2 linked regions of the Schizosaccharomyces pombe genome follow. The protein of the gene in region 2 interacts with the protein of the main gene of each other region in a pairwise test. Each region holds a gene or a part of one and is shown on either strand. Other genes may lie near its edges. The genes, in order: alp4 and alp6.

What was found.
Region 1: the proteins of alp6 (region 2) and alp4 interact in a two-hybrid assay, tested with the Schizosaccharomyces pombe proteins (3 studies listed by BioGRID).

What each region holds. Positions count from the first base shown.
Region 1 is NC_003423.3:2,522,173-2,527,917, forward strand, and holds alp4 (gamma tubulin complex GCP2 subunit Alp4), read left to right. Parts: upstream 1-1,888; coding exon 1,889-4,243; 3' UTR 4,244-4,962; downstream 4,963-5,745. Other genes in the region: UDP-glucose 4-epimerase Uge1, read right to left, coding at 1-452, 621-683, 751-753. UniProt on the Schizosaccharomyces pombe protein: Component of the gamma tubule complex that is required for the regulation of both interphase microtubules and mitotic bipolar spindles.
Region 2 is NC_003423.3:480,138-485,828, forward strand, and holds alp6 (gamma tubulin complex GCP3 subunit Alp6), read right to left. Parts: upstream 3,692-5,691; 5' UTR 3,570-3,691; coding exon 3,442-3,569; exon of another isoform or gene 3,403-3,441; coding exon 3,341-3,402; exon of another isoform or gene 3,301-3,340; coding exon 1,469-3,300; exon of another isoform or gene 1,416-1,468; coding exon 939-1,415; 3' UTR 811-938; downstream 1-810. Other genes in the region: U3 snoRNP protein Utp15, read right to left, coding at 1-232, 442-759; Ctf18 RFC-like complex subunit Ctf18, read right to left, coding at 3,812-4,175, 4,225-4,355, 4,436-5,691.

The sequences.
Region 1 (5,745 bases), 2.0 Mb from region 2:
GTCTCATCCTCAATGATATTTTCAATGAAAAGCTTTGTGCGACCATATGGGCTTGTACCTTCACGAGGGCATGACTCTGGAATAGGAATGGTACCACCAGGTCTAGTAGGATCGCCATACACGGTAGCAGATGAAGAAAAGACGAAGTCACGTACATTATACTTCTTCATGCACTCTATTAAATTAATGGTACCGGAAATGTTATTTTTGTAATAACTCAAAGGAACCTGTACAGATTCACCAACTGCTTTGAGACCAGCAAAATGAATGACAGCAGATATGTTTTGATTTGCGAAGACCTTGTCCAAAGCTGGCTCATCAAGCAAATCCACCTGGTGGAATATGACTTTTTTCCCAGTGAGTTTTTCAATGCGGTGCACGGCTTCAACGCGAGAATTGCATAAATTATCGACAATTACAACATCATATCCTTTTTCTAACAAAACAACGCACTATTGCAGATTGTGGTTAGCAAAATATCTCAAAAAAGAGCTTTATAGAATATGGACGAAATTGTATAAAAGTAAAGAGCAGCAAGCTATATTCACAAAAGATGCGTGCTTAAAACATTTACATGTACATTACTAATCCTCTTCTGTATCTTCAAGCTCTCTACGTACCGTATGAGAACCTATATAACCAGCGCCGCCAGTAACCAACACAGTCCCTTCATGAACACCAGTCTATGAATCATAATTAGTATTTTCATACAAAAGAATGCTTTTGATTAATTAAAAAAGTTATTCATACCATTTTACACGTTATAATTTGATATTAAAGGGGTGGGCTCAAGACTGTAGCTATTATGCTCTTTCTTTGTTGGATATTCAGTTTCCTACATGCTCAAGGTATCAATGCAGGTCGTTACCTCCTGTAACCTGACATGATGTAAAACGAGCAAAAGCCACAATGAAGCTTAAGCTAAAAGTGAAAAGTGCTTGTATATCTCGCTAAACCATTTTATTGATATATCGCTAAAAAATTCCTAATCATAATATTATATAGTAACAAAGAGGTCGTCGGAATAAGTGTATAGCAGATGAATGCCTGTGATTAGGTGTATGGATTTTTCATGTTCATAAAGCATTGAGGTAGTAATTTAATGTATGTGCATTTACCAATAAATTTTTTTTTTGTATTTATTTTTTTAAAAGATGAACTCGAGATTTTACAACCAATATACACTTTGATAGATGTAATGTTTGTGATTTCACCACCAGCTTCATGCGACTACAAAATCCTTGCTTCCCTAGAAAAGCATTTTATCTGTAAATAAATCATTGATGCTTATATGTATTTTTGAAAAAATTTATTTTGTTAAAGAAATAACAAGTAAATGTATAATTAACATAAAACCGAGCTAAATTTATTGCTTTTATTATGCAAATATTACCTACTGGCTAGTAAATAAAGCGAAGTAGTCTGCATTAGAATAAAAAATTTAAACACAACAAAAAAAAAAAAAAAAAAAAAAAAAAAAAGATGAAGGGAATAAATCCCTCAAGCTTAGGATCTAAAATTTTTATCCATTCAAAATAAACTCTAGCATATAGAATTTGTCACTGTCTACTGCTATCCATATATACTCGAATGAGTATTTGGGGTCCTTTGAGTTTACGGTAGTCTTACAATAGAAAATGCTGCAGTCTTCTAGTTATGTATTTTTTGACTAATTTTTTTTATACTTTTTTGCATTTTTTAATGCTACACGGACCTGAGTTGGTTTGCTTTGAAATTGCGTTGATTGTTAGCTGGCGCATACTTACCAACCTACATCTTAAAACTGGCCTGCTGGTAAACAAGCATATCCGAATAATAATTACAAAGAGCACTAAATATTAAATAAATGTTCACACTTTTGTAGATTATATAAAAAAAGACTCTTTAAATGGTGAGATCGATTAGTTCGGTGCTTGCTAAAGAAGAAAGCGAGAATGGGAGTCCAATTCCAGCTCTCGAGGAAGGGAGCGTTTATCATGTCTCTTTGAAGAGTGAAGGTGTTTCTCCATTTTCTGATAGGATTCAATTAAATTATCTTTACGATGGGAAGACTTTTAGCGATCCTTCGAACTTAAATATCCATCAGCAGGAAGCATGTCTCATAAACGAACTCTTAAATGCATTTATGGGCATGGAGGGTGTATTTGTACATCTCCAAGACATGAAAGCATCCTCTGAGTTTGAAACCATTATTATGCCGCCATCGTTTTATATTCTTCCTGGATTTGATTTAGGTATAAAGGATATTGCTTCTGAGATGTTAGAGATGGGGTCTCATTATTTAAGTATCACAGCTTTTATAGAATCGAGAAGCCATTTTGAATACGGATTTGTTAACCACGCATTGTGCGCTGCTTTGCGAAAGTTTGTGATGGACTACGTGGTACTTATCATGCAGTGTGAAAATCAGAGCCGAATTGATCCAAATTTTTCTCTTCAAACTCTTCGCCTTTATACTCTTCCCACATCGCGTTCATTACGACAAGTGTATTTAATTCTACGTGACCTGCTTTTGTCTATGGAAAAGAATGCTTCCAGCAGCGATGATTTAGGTCTTAGTAACATCGACGATCTTTTAGAGCAACTTAATGAAGGAAATGACATTTCACATGTTGTTAATGCCACTAGGTCTAAGAAAAAGGTTTGTAAAGGTGGGCAAGTCATTTCTTTTTTGACCGAAAGTCTTACGAAATATGCGGGTGATCCTGTGGCACGAAAAATCCTAACCTATTTATTGCGCGAAGCTTCACGCCCTTATACAAAAATGTTGAATGAGTGGATCCATCTCGGGCTCGTAAATGACCCATATGATGAATTTATGATAAAAATACACAAAGGAATCACATCTATGCAACTTGATGAAGACTACACAGATGAATATTGGGAAAAACGATACGTGATTCGAGAGGATCAAGTTCCTCCACAATTGCTTGATTTACAAAACAAGGTACTCTTTGCAGGCAAGTATTTGAACGTCGTTTTAGAGTGTAGGAAGGGAGTTAATAACCTGGCTTCGTTAAATGCAAAAGACGATACTCAAAACCAGTTGCTCTGGCCTTCAACCTTCGATGATGATAACTTTACTTTAAATATCATGAATGCCTATGTTTATGCAAATGAATCTCTCTTGCAATTACTCCAGTCTTCACAGTCTCTTTACGCTCATCTGTACTCGCTCAAACATTATTTTTTCCTTGATCAATCTGACTTTTTTACAACATTTCTTGACAATGCTCAACACGAGCTACGAAAACCTGCAAAGTATATATCTATCACGAAGTTGCAGTCGCAATTAGATTTAGCCCTTCGTCAGCCTGGTACGATAACTGCGACTGATCCACATAAAGAATACGTGACTGTAGAAGTGAATCAAACATCATTAATAGACTGGCTCATGCATATTGTAAGTATCAGTGGTTTGGAAGAAGGAACATCATCTCAGGGAAACGAAGTTTGGAATGAATCAATCACGAAGCAAGCGGATGTGGGCAATGAAACTCGAAATTTTGAGAGTGAACACAATCGGAGCACACAGGGGACTTCAAAAGTTGGTAGCGATAAAGATATTAATGGATTTGAAACGATGCAACTATGCTATAAAGTTCCATTTCCCCTTTCACTTATTTTATCCCGCAAAGCTATTATTCGATATCAACTTTTGTTCAGATATTTTCTTTTACTTCGTCACGTTGAAATGCAACTTGAGAATAGTTGGGTGCAGCACAGCAAGAATAGTGCTTGGCGTCTCAATTCCTCCAATGCGAAAATCGAACAATGGAAAAGGAACAGCTGGTTATTAAGGACACGAATGCTTAGTTTTGTTCAAAAAATAATCTACTATACTACAAGTGAGGTGATTGAAACACATTGGGGGAAATTTATGGGAGAACTTGAGAACGCCCGAACTGTGGATAATTTAATGCAGGAGCATATCGATTTTTTGGATACGTGTCTAAAAGAATGCATGCTTACTAACTCGCGATTACTTAAAGTACAATCTAAATTACTTAATACTTGTGCTATGTTTGCCTCTTATACTTCCACGTTTACCCGATCCTTATATTTGCTTGAGAATTCCGAAGAAAGCTTTGATGAAGGAAGAATGGATAAGATGGAAGAAATTTTACGCCGGTACGAAGACAGTTTTAGTCGTCATTTAAAATCCTTAGTGAATGCTTGTAACTACTTTGCAAGTACTGAGACGGCGGCTCTTTTAAGTTTAGTAATGAAATTGACGGGATAACTAAGAAGAGACAAGATAAAACAAGGCAAGGTAGAAAAACTACAAATGGAACAACGTTACTATTGTTTTATTGAGATATGAAGAAACATCTGACAAACAGCAATGGAAATTGGGAGAAAAACTTTTATGGATATTTATATAGTCGGTTTTTGGATAACCTTATCTTTGACATCTTGTTGCTTGTACTCGTTAATAAAGAAATGACTTGGAGTGAGGATCTTGCGGAATGGCCAATTATCTTCATAAACAAGCATTGCTTATCCGCAGTATACATTGGTCCATTTTCAGTAGTTTGGACTTTTTTTTGGCCAGTTGTCACACTAAAAGCGTACTGCACTATTCGGTTAAAAATTGACAAAAAGACGACTGCCATTGGCCATGAATTTAAGAATGATTATGGAGAAAGGCATGGCGAGCGTTTAATATGCCAACACTTGTGTTATATAAAAAATAATCGATTTTTTAAAATGTCTGAAACAGGGTTTGCTGATAATGCCTGAGGAATGGTAACTTGGATTTTTGATCGCTAATTTTTTATTAGCTATGTCGCTAAATTTAAGGCAAGTCGGCAGTATGCCGCGTGATTGAGGAAGAACGAAGAGAGAGGCTAAGCATTTGTTCCTAGTCTAAAGAGCTATCGATTGATTTTGAAGTGATACAATGTATGCTAACGTTTGTACCATAGACAGCTATAGTAATGAACTTTGTTATGTGAAGAAGTACAGTTGCTACGACAGTAATGATGATGATGTATGTATATAAAAACCAAACCAAGGTTTAATTTAGGTGGTTATAGTATTGTATACGCAAAACTATTCATTTGTGTGCACTCGTAATGAATTTCTAGTAATTGTATTTTGCAGTTAAAAGTTTAATGGATGCGTAAACAAAGGAACAGGTAAGCTAGTAAAGCGCATACAAAAATTGTAATATCGAAGGAAAACGTCAATTTAGATTAGTGTAGGATGGTTATTACGAAAGGATAGAGTTACTATGAAAAGTGAGTACAGATTGTATGATTAAGTATGGGGGCGATAGCTGGGTGTGAGGCAAAGGAATCATATGACTTTAGAATTATCGCATCAAGGAGTAAGAAAAACGAAAACTTATCTCACAGTGGATTGCCCAAAATTATCAATCCCCCACCATGTAAGAGGAAACAAGAGAAACAGAGAGAGGGAGAAAGAAATAATTAGAAACTAGCAAATATACTTTACAGATTACAAATGGACACGATAAGTAAGTTAAGATGAAATAAAGGGGAAGATAACAAGGAACGGAATATAAAAGAGCATTTCGAACCGAATGAAACATTTTAAGCCGAATGTATTGAAATCGAAATATTTGAATTGAGAGATTTTTATTTTATCTGACTAATGATGAGAAAGGATAGAAGAGAACAAATAGAATAGAAATAGAACTAAAGATAAAAAATATGAGAACCAAAATAGCAAAACAAAAAAAGCTAAATACTAGGTAATTAATAAAAAAAAATTTAAAAA
Region 2 (5,691 bases):
CACCACTCACAAGTCTAGTAGCACTCATCCATGAAGCAGTACGAACATAATCTTCATGTCCAGAAAGATCATACTGAACGGCACCAGTTGACAAGTCCCAGACCTTTACAGTTTTGTCATCGGATCCAGAGAGAAACGTGGTATTGGCATAAGGACAAAATTGTGTAACATGAACTGGAAACTGATGAGCGTCTAAAGCACGCAAAATACTCCGAGTTGACAAATCAAATATCTGAAAGTACATTAGCAATCAATGGCAACAAGAAAACCTCTAAAGTAAGTTTAAAGCGTTGACAAACACCGGAAAAATGGTATTTTTTTAGCTATATACTAGCAAATGACAGCTTCAATCAGCTAAACTAAACTAACAAAATTCCATGTGCAGCTTATCAACGTTTTAATTGCAACTATCTTTCAAAGCTTTTGGTAATGTAGACTTACCTGTACAAGTCCTGTAGCATCTCCTGCAAGCAAAAGTTTTCCATCCTTTCTAATGTTACCAGAATATGCGGTATCCTTAAATCGAGCAATTGTTTTTTTAACAGACCTTGAACTAGCTCCATAAATTTGTACACGAGCCCCACTAGTTACTGCAAAGTCATAAGGGGATTCAGCGGAAAAATGAATACTAGTGATAGCACTATATTCCTTGGCAACGACAGGAACCTTGAATGACCGCCAAAATTTATTTTCAGCAGTAACGGGATTAGGTAAAGCAGCAAAACGCTGAGGTTGAAGTCTACCAGCAGGCGCGGACATGATATCCGTATATGTGGTTGCTGAAAAAAGTTAACCAAATGGGTGGGTGGTGTTGGTGGTTGGCAAAGGCAAATTAAACAGCACCGCTGAACGATAGTTAAATCACATTAAATATTAATAACTAAATTTATAGTTTACTACGAGTAATAAAAGTTTAAATAATCATGCATGAACCTCATTTATTGACTGGTAACATCCTTATCATGACGCCGTCTATGAGAAACGTAGAATTCGTTATAATTGAGACGAACGGAAAGAAAGCGCATTTCTGGGTCCTTATGGGAAGCTAATCCATGTAATAATTTTTGAAGTCGAACCTGGAATTCCTCAGTAAAATTTGAGAGTTCATTTTTTATAGGGGTGTATTGAGCTGCCAAAGCATCAGTCGAAATTGGTACATTAATGCGAATTCTATTCGACAGGGAGCAAGAAAAGTTATACAACAACTCAATTGCATCATGAAAGTTTAAGATAACTTTAAGTATATCATGAAGCTGATGAAGGAAGGAATCTTCATTCCTTGACTTACCACCACCCAACAAGCCCTTATGAGTTATACTAGTAACATATTTTTCATGTGCCTCTATATACGTATCCAATGTAGCGTTTGGTTTCTCCATAGCAAGCTGTAATTCTTGCCAACTAATTTCGATAACCTGTTTCCAATGGTTAGTATACAATGCAAAATTGGGTTTTGGTTTTTCGTTACCTCAAAGAGTATATAATATTGAAGTTGACAAACAAAATGAATCATTTCCGCAAGATGACAACTGACAAAATGCCATTCGAATTTTGTGTAATCCAGATTTCTGAAGACATTTCGCTCGCCCAAATTTACTCGCCTCCAGGAATGGGCAAGGGCAAACTCAATTCGTTTCAACCTCCATAAAAAGTTAAATATTTTTAAGTATTGTCTAGAGCAATATGGTGTTATTATTACGTTGATAGGTGAATCAACTTTATACTCCAACGTAAAAACATCCCAACCAGTTTCACCATGTGAAAGCTCCAGAAGCCTAGCATCCAATCTTTTTAATACGTATTCAGGTTCATAAGATGCATTACTTGAACGAATGGCGCTTTCTAAAGAAGCAGTCAAATTGTGTCTGAACAAAGTATTAGCCGGCTGATCCAAAGAATTACCAAGGCTCTCCATTAATAAGTCCACAAAATCACCTTGTCCTAGTAAAAGGTATTTTTTGATAGCCTTTAAATGATCAGTCAAATGAAACACCTCTTCCATCAAGTATACTAAGTGATTAATGGACTCAGTATACGCCTTATCAACCACTGTTTCTAATGAATGAGGGTCTCTATAACTAAGTTTTTTCACTAGCTTCTGGTAATGCTCTTGTGCCCAGTCAAAATCACCACATCCATAACGTGCGAAGTTTAAACTCTTTCCAATCAAAAAGATTTTGTCGACAAGTTCTTCAGAAAGGAAACTTGGTATTAACTCTTTGTCTAAAAAATATTTACCTTTCCAGACGACATCACCTTGCCCTTGATGATCATGGCTTTCACTACCATTTTTTTCTTTAACAAAAAATTCTTGATAAGGGTCGACCAATTCTCCTTTATAAATCCAGTTTTCAATCATTTCGTATAAAGGTCCAGTAATTTCTGTTAGTATTTTATCACTCAATTCTTGTATTAGCGGATCTCCATGCACATTGTATTTCGAAACCACTTGAATCAATCTTTTTTTATTCTCCTGGTTCATATTATCATTAACAACTGAAGACAAAATTCTAAGTTTTAGCTTGGCAACTTGCGTCCAGGCAATGCAACGCCGGATAGTTACCATAGGCTTCTCAAGTGAAGCGTCTGCTCGAATTTGTGAATCCAGAGATGCAATTAACGCAAGGAAATTAGTCAGCTCTTTAGAAATGACCGATTTTAAACTTTGTAAAGCTAAAGACTGATCGTTTATAAATGCTTTACTAACGTTATCACCATCAATGGATTGACTGACCGAAGGATCATAATTGCTGAAAACCTTTAGTTCCTGATATAATAAGCCTGTCTCTGAAAGAGCTCGCATCTGTAAAAGGTATTGGACAGGTATTCTCTTAGACAACAGCGCTAATTCATTTTTAAACTGAACATATTCGGTAGAAATTCCTTGAAGTACGTAAGATATTGAAGACAACAAATCGGCTTCTGTAATCAAAGTATGTTGAACAGAAGAAGTTTCAGTACTACGGTTTAGCCTAGATGAATCATGAGCAATTGAGATAGAACTTTCATTTTCCAATCCTTCATCCCAATCAGTAATTTGGGGGTTTTCAGGAACTTGATCGTAACGTGTCTGACCAAAGTTTGAGGATTCCACTTCTGTTGATGGAATATTGATAGGATTGGAAATAGACTCATCTAATAAATGAGAGGAGACATCTCTTGATGACTGAGAAATAGGAGAGAGCAAGTATAAGAAATAGAGTATTTGAGATTTGTTGTGAATGACCGTTTGACTTTTCAAACGCGAAACTAAGTTAGATAATTTAGAAAATAAAGCATCATTGTTTTCTTCGGGGGGAACTAAAAAACTGTTAATTTTGGTATTTAGACCTTCACATACTTTTTGAATATATTTTGTACAGAATGTCATCAATGTCCAGTTGAAAAGTATCAGGAGAAATGCTAACAGTTAGCATGATCATTTACACGAAATTAGCTTACGAGTGAATTATTTCCTGAAAGAAAGACACGATCGTTTCAATTGTGTAAGGGACAGAAGGGTTTTTGGAGTTCTGTAAATACTTGTCCGCCAGACGTGATAATGCAGTTTTCACATGAATCTCCGACATTTGAGAACTTCAAATGACGAAAGTATTTTTTTTATTTTTGAATTAAAATAGAGAAATACAAGTATTGATCGTTAACTCAAAATCTTAAAGCCATTGACAAAGTACACGCCGAAGTCGCGGTCAGGAAATAATGGTTAGATGAATTTACGCATACACCTATTTTTACTAGTGATTTTTTTTTAAATTAAATGATTGATTTTATTTCAAAAAGATTGAAATTAAAAATATTAATGCACATTAGATTAGAAATTCAGAATCTCGTTCAACGATATTGGTTTTCTCACAGCATTGGAAAACCCATCGTGAAATTTGATATTGATTGCATGCTTGATGGAAACTGGATGATCTCCTGTATTCAAAGCTGCATTATTCGATGTAACTGCTTCAGATTTTGGTTCAGAAATGATACGGCCAAAAAAATCTCTCTTAATTGCTTTTCCGGAATTAAAATCTTTGCGCTTTCTTGAAGAATTCGAAGAAGTGGGGTTGTCCGTTAGGGTTTGTTTTTTAATGTCTGCGAGCCTTTTCTTGAGCAGTTCCTGAGATAGCATTTGACGAACAGAATATGAACTTGTAGGTGCGTCCCAAACCAATTCATCCAAAGGTCTGTCAACGTTAGCTATTACTAGAAAGAAATAAAAATATTGGAACTTACGGCTCAAGCCTATACACATAGTTGCCATCTCCAACGGGAAGCTGTTGGAAACGCAAATTATAATGATTTAAAATGTTAATCGCATGCTCAATTTTAGAAGGTAAAGCGCTCCTTGGCATAGAATCTTCTTTCTATAAAAAGTTAGTAAATTAAAAAAATATTGTTTCACGCAATTTTTTTTTTTTTTTTTTTTAAAATATATAGACCTTACCTGTTTTAGTGTAGGATTTATGGTAATTAAAATTGTACGGATAAGTTCCAAAAGAATTGATCTTTCTCCATGCATTTGATTTTCATAAGCATTTAGCGTCGATATGAATGAATCCAATATTTCTTTGCGAGTACGATAAAGTTTTAAAGCTTCCAAATCACTTCTGGGAGGATGCGGAAGGCGGCACTTTTCAGGAGTTGCATACAAATAATGAAAATGAATAATGGAATAAGGTATGTACCTCCATAACTCATAATTTCCCTTATAACATTGTGAATGAAGTTGGTCGAAAAAGTAAAGCCACTCGCTTGTCAAAGCAGGTTTAGAAAGTAAGCTATCAGTAAAAGGAAGATCTAAGTATGTATGAAAACAATTCATCAAGACTGATTCAGAATCATTAGCTCCATCAATCCTTGCAAGGAGGGCGTCCAAATGTGAGTAAGTAGGTTGCGATGCTTCAATTGCACGTATTTGTTTATTATCAAGTTGTAAAAAAAGAGATTGGATTAAACTAGAAGTACTAAAAGAATTACTTTTTGGTTGCAAAAGCTTTATGGTCTCAGAATCTATACGTTTGTTATTTAAAGACAAAAGTTGTAAACTGTTGATACAGCTTCGAATGTCAGAATTATAGATATCTGTCAGCAAAGTCAAAGAGCGGCTGTCAACAGCTATATTTTCATTTCGGCAAATAGTCCTTAAACGACCGACAAGAGATGCTTGAGGAGGTGGTCGAAAATATATTATTTGAGCATATGGTCGCAGAGGTCGAAGTGCTGGAGTATATAAGTCATTACAAATGCAAATAATGGGACGACAAAGTTTCTTAAACTTTTTCTTTTTCTTTGAATTACCAGCTTGAGAATACTCAGTCGCTTTTTCGTCACTCTCTAATAAACTCAAAAGTGCTCGTACGAATGCAGGATCACCTCCGTCAATTTCATCAACTATAACACATGTAGGTTGAGATGACAAGGCTGAATGATTGCTAATGGCAGAGGATACCTTTTCATGAACCGTATGAGCAGTACGATCATCACTAGCATTTATTTCCAAAACTTTGTATCCAGCCTGATGAGCAATAACATGAGCCAAAGTCGTTTTACCTGCACCTGCCAGTCCAGTCAGCATCATAATCCGTTTATCAGGTCTATCACTATCAGAAGTGATATTAGTAAATCTGGGGTTAAAACGCATACTCTTTGAGGGCTGTAATCGAGATTTTCCAAACACACAAGGATCCCAAGCTTTTATCC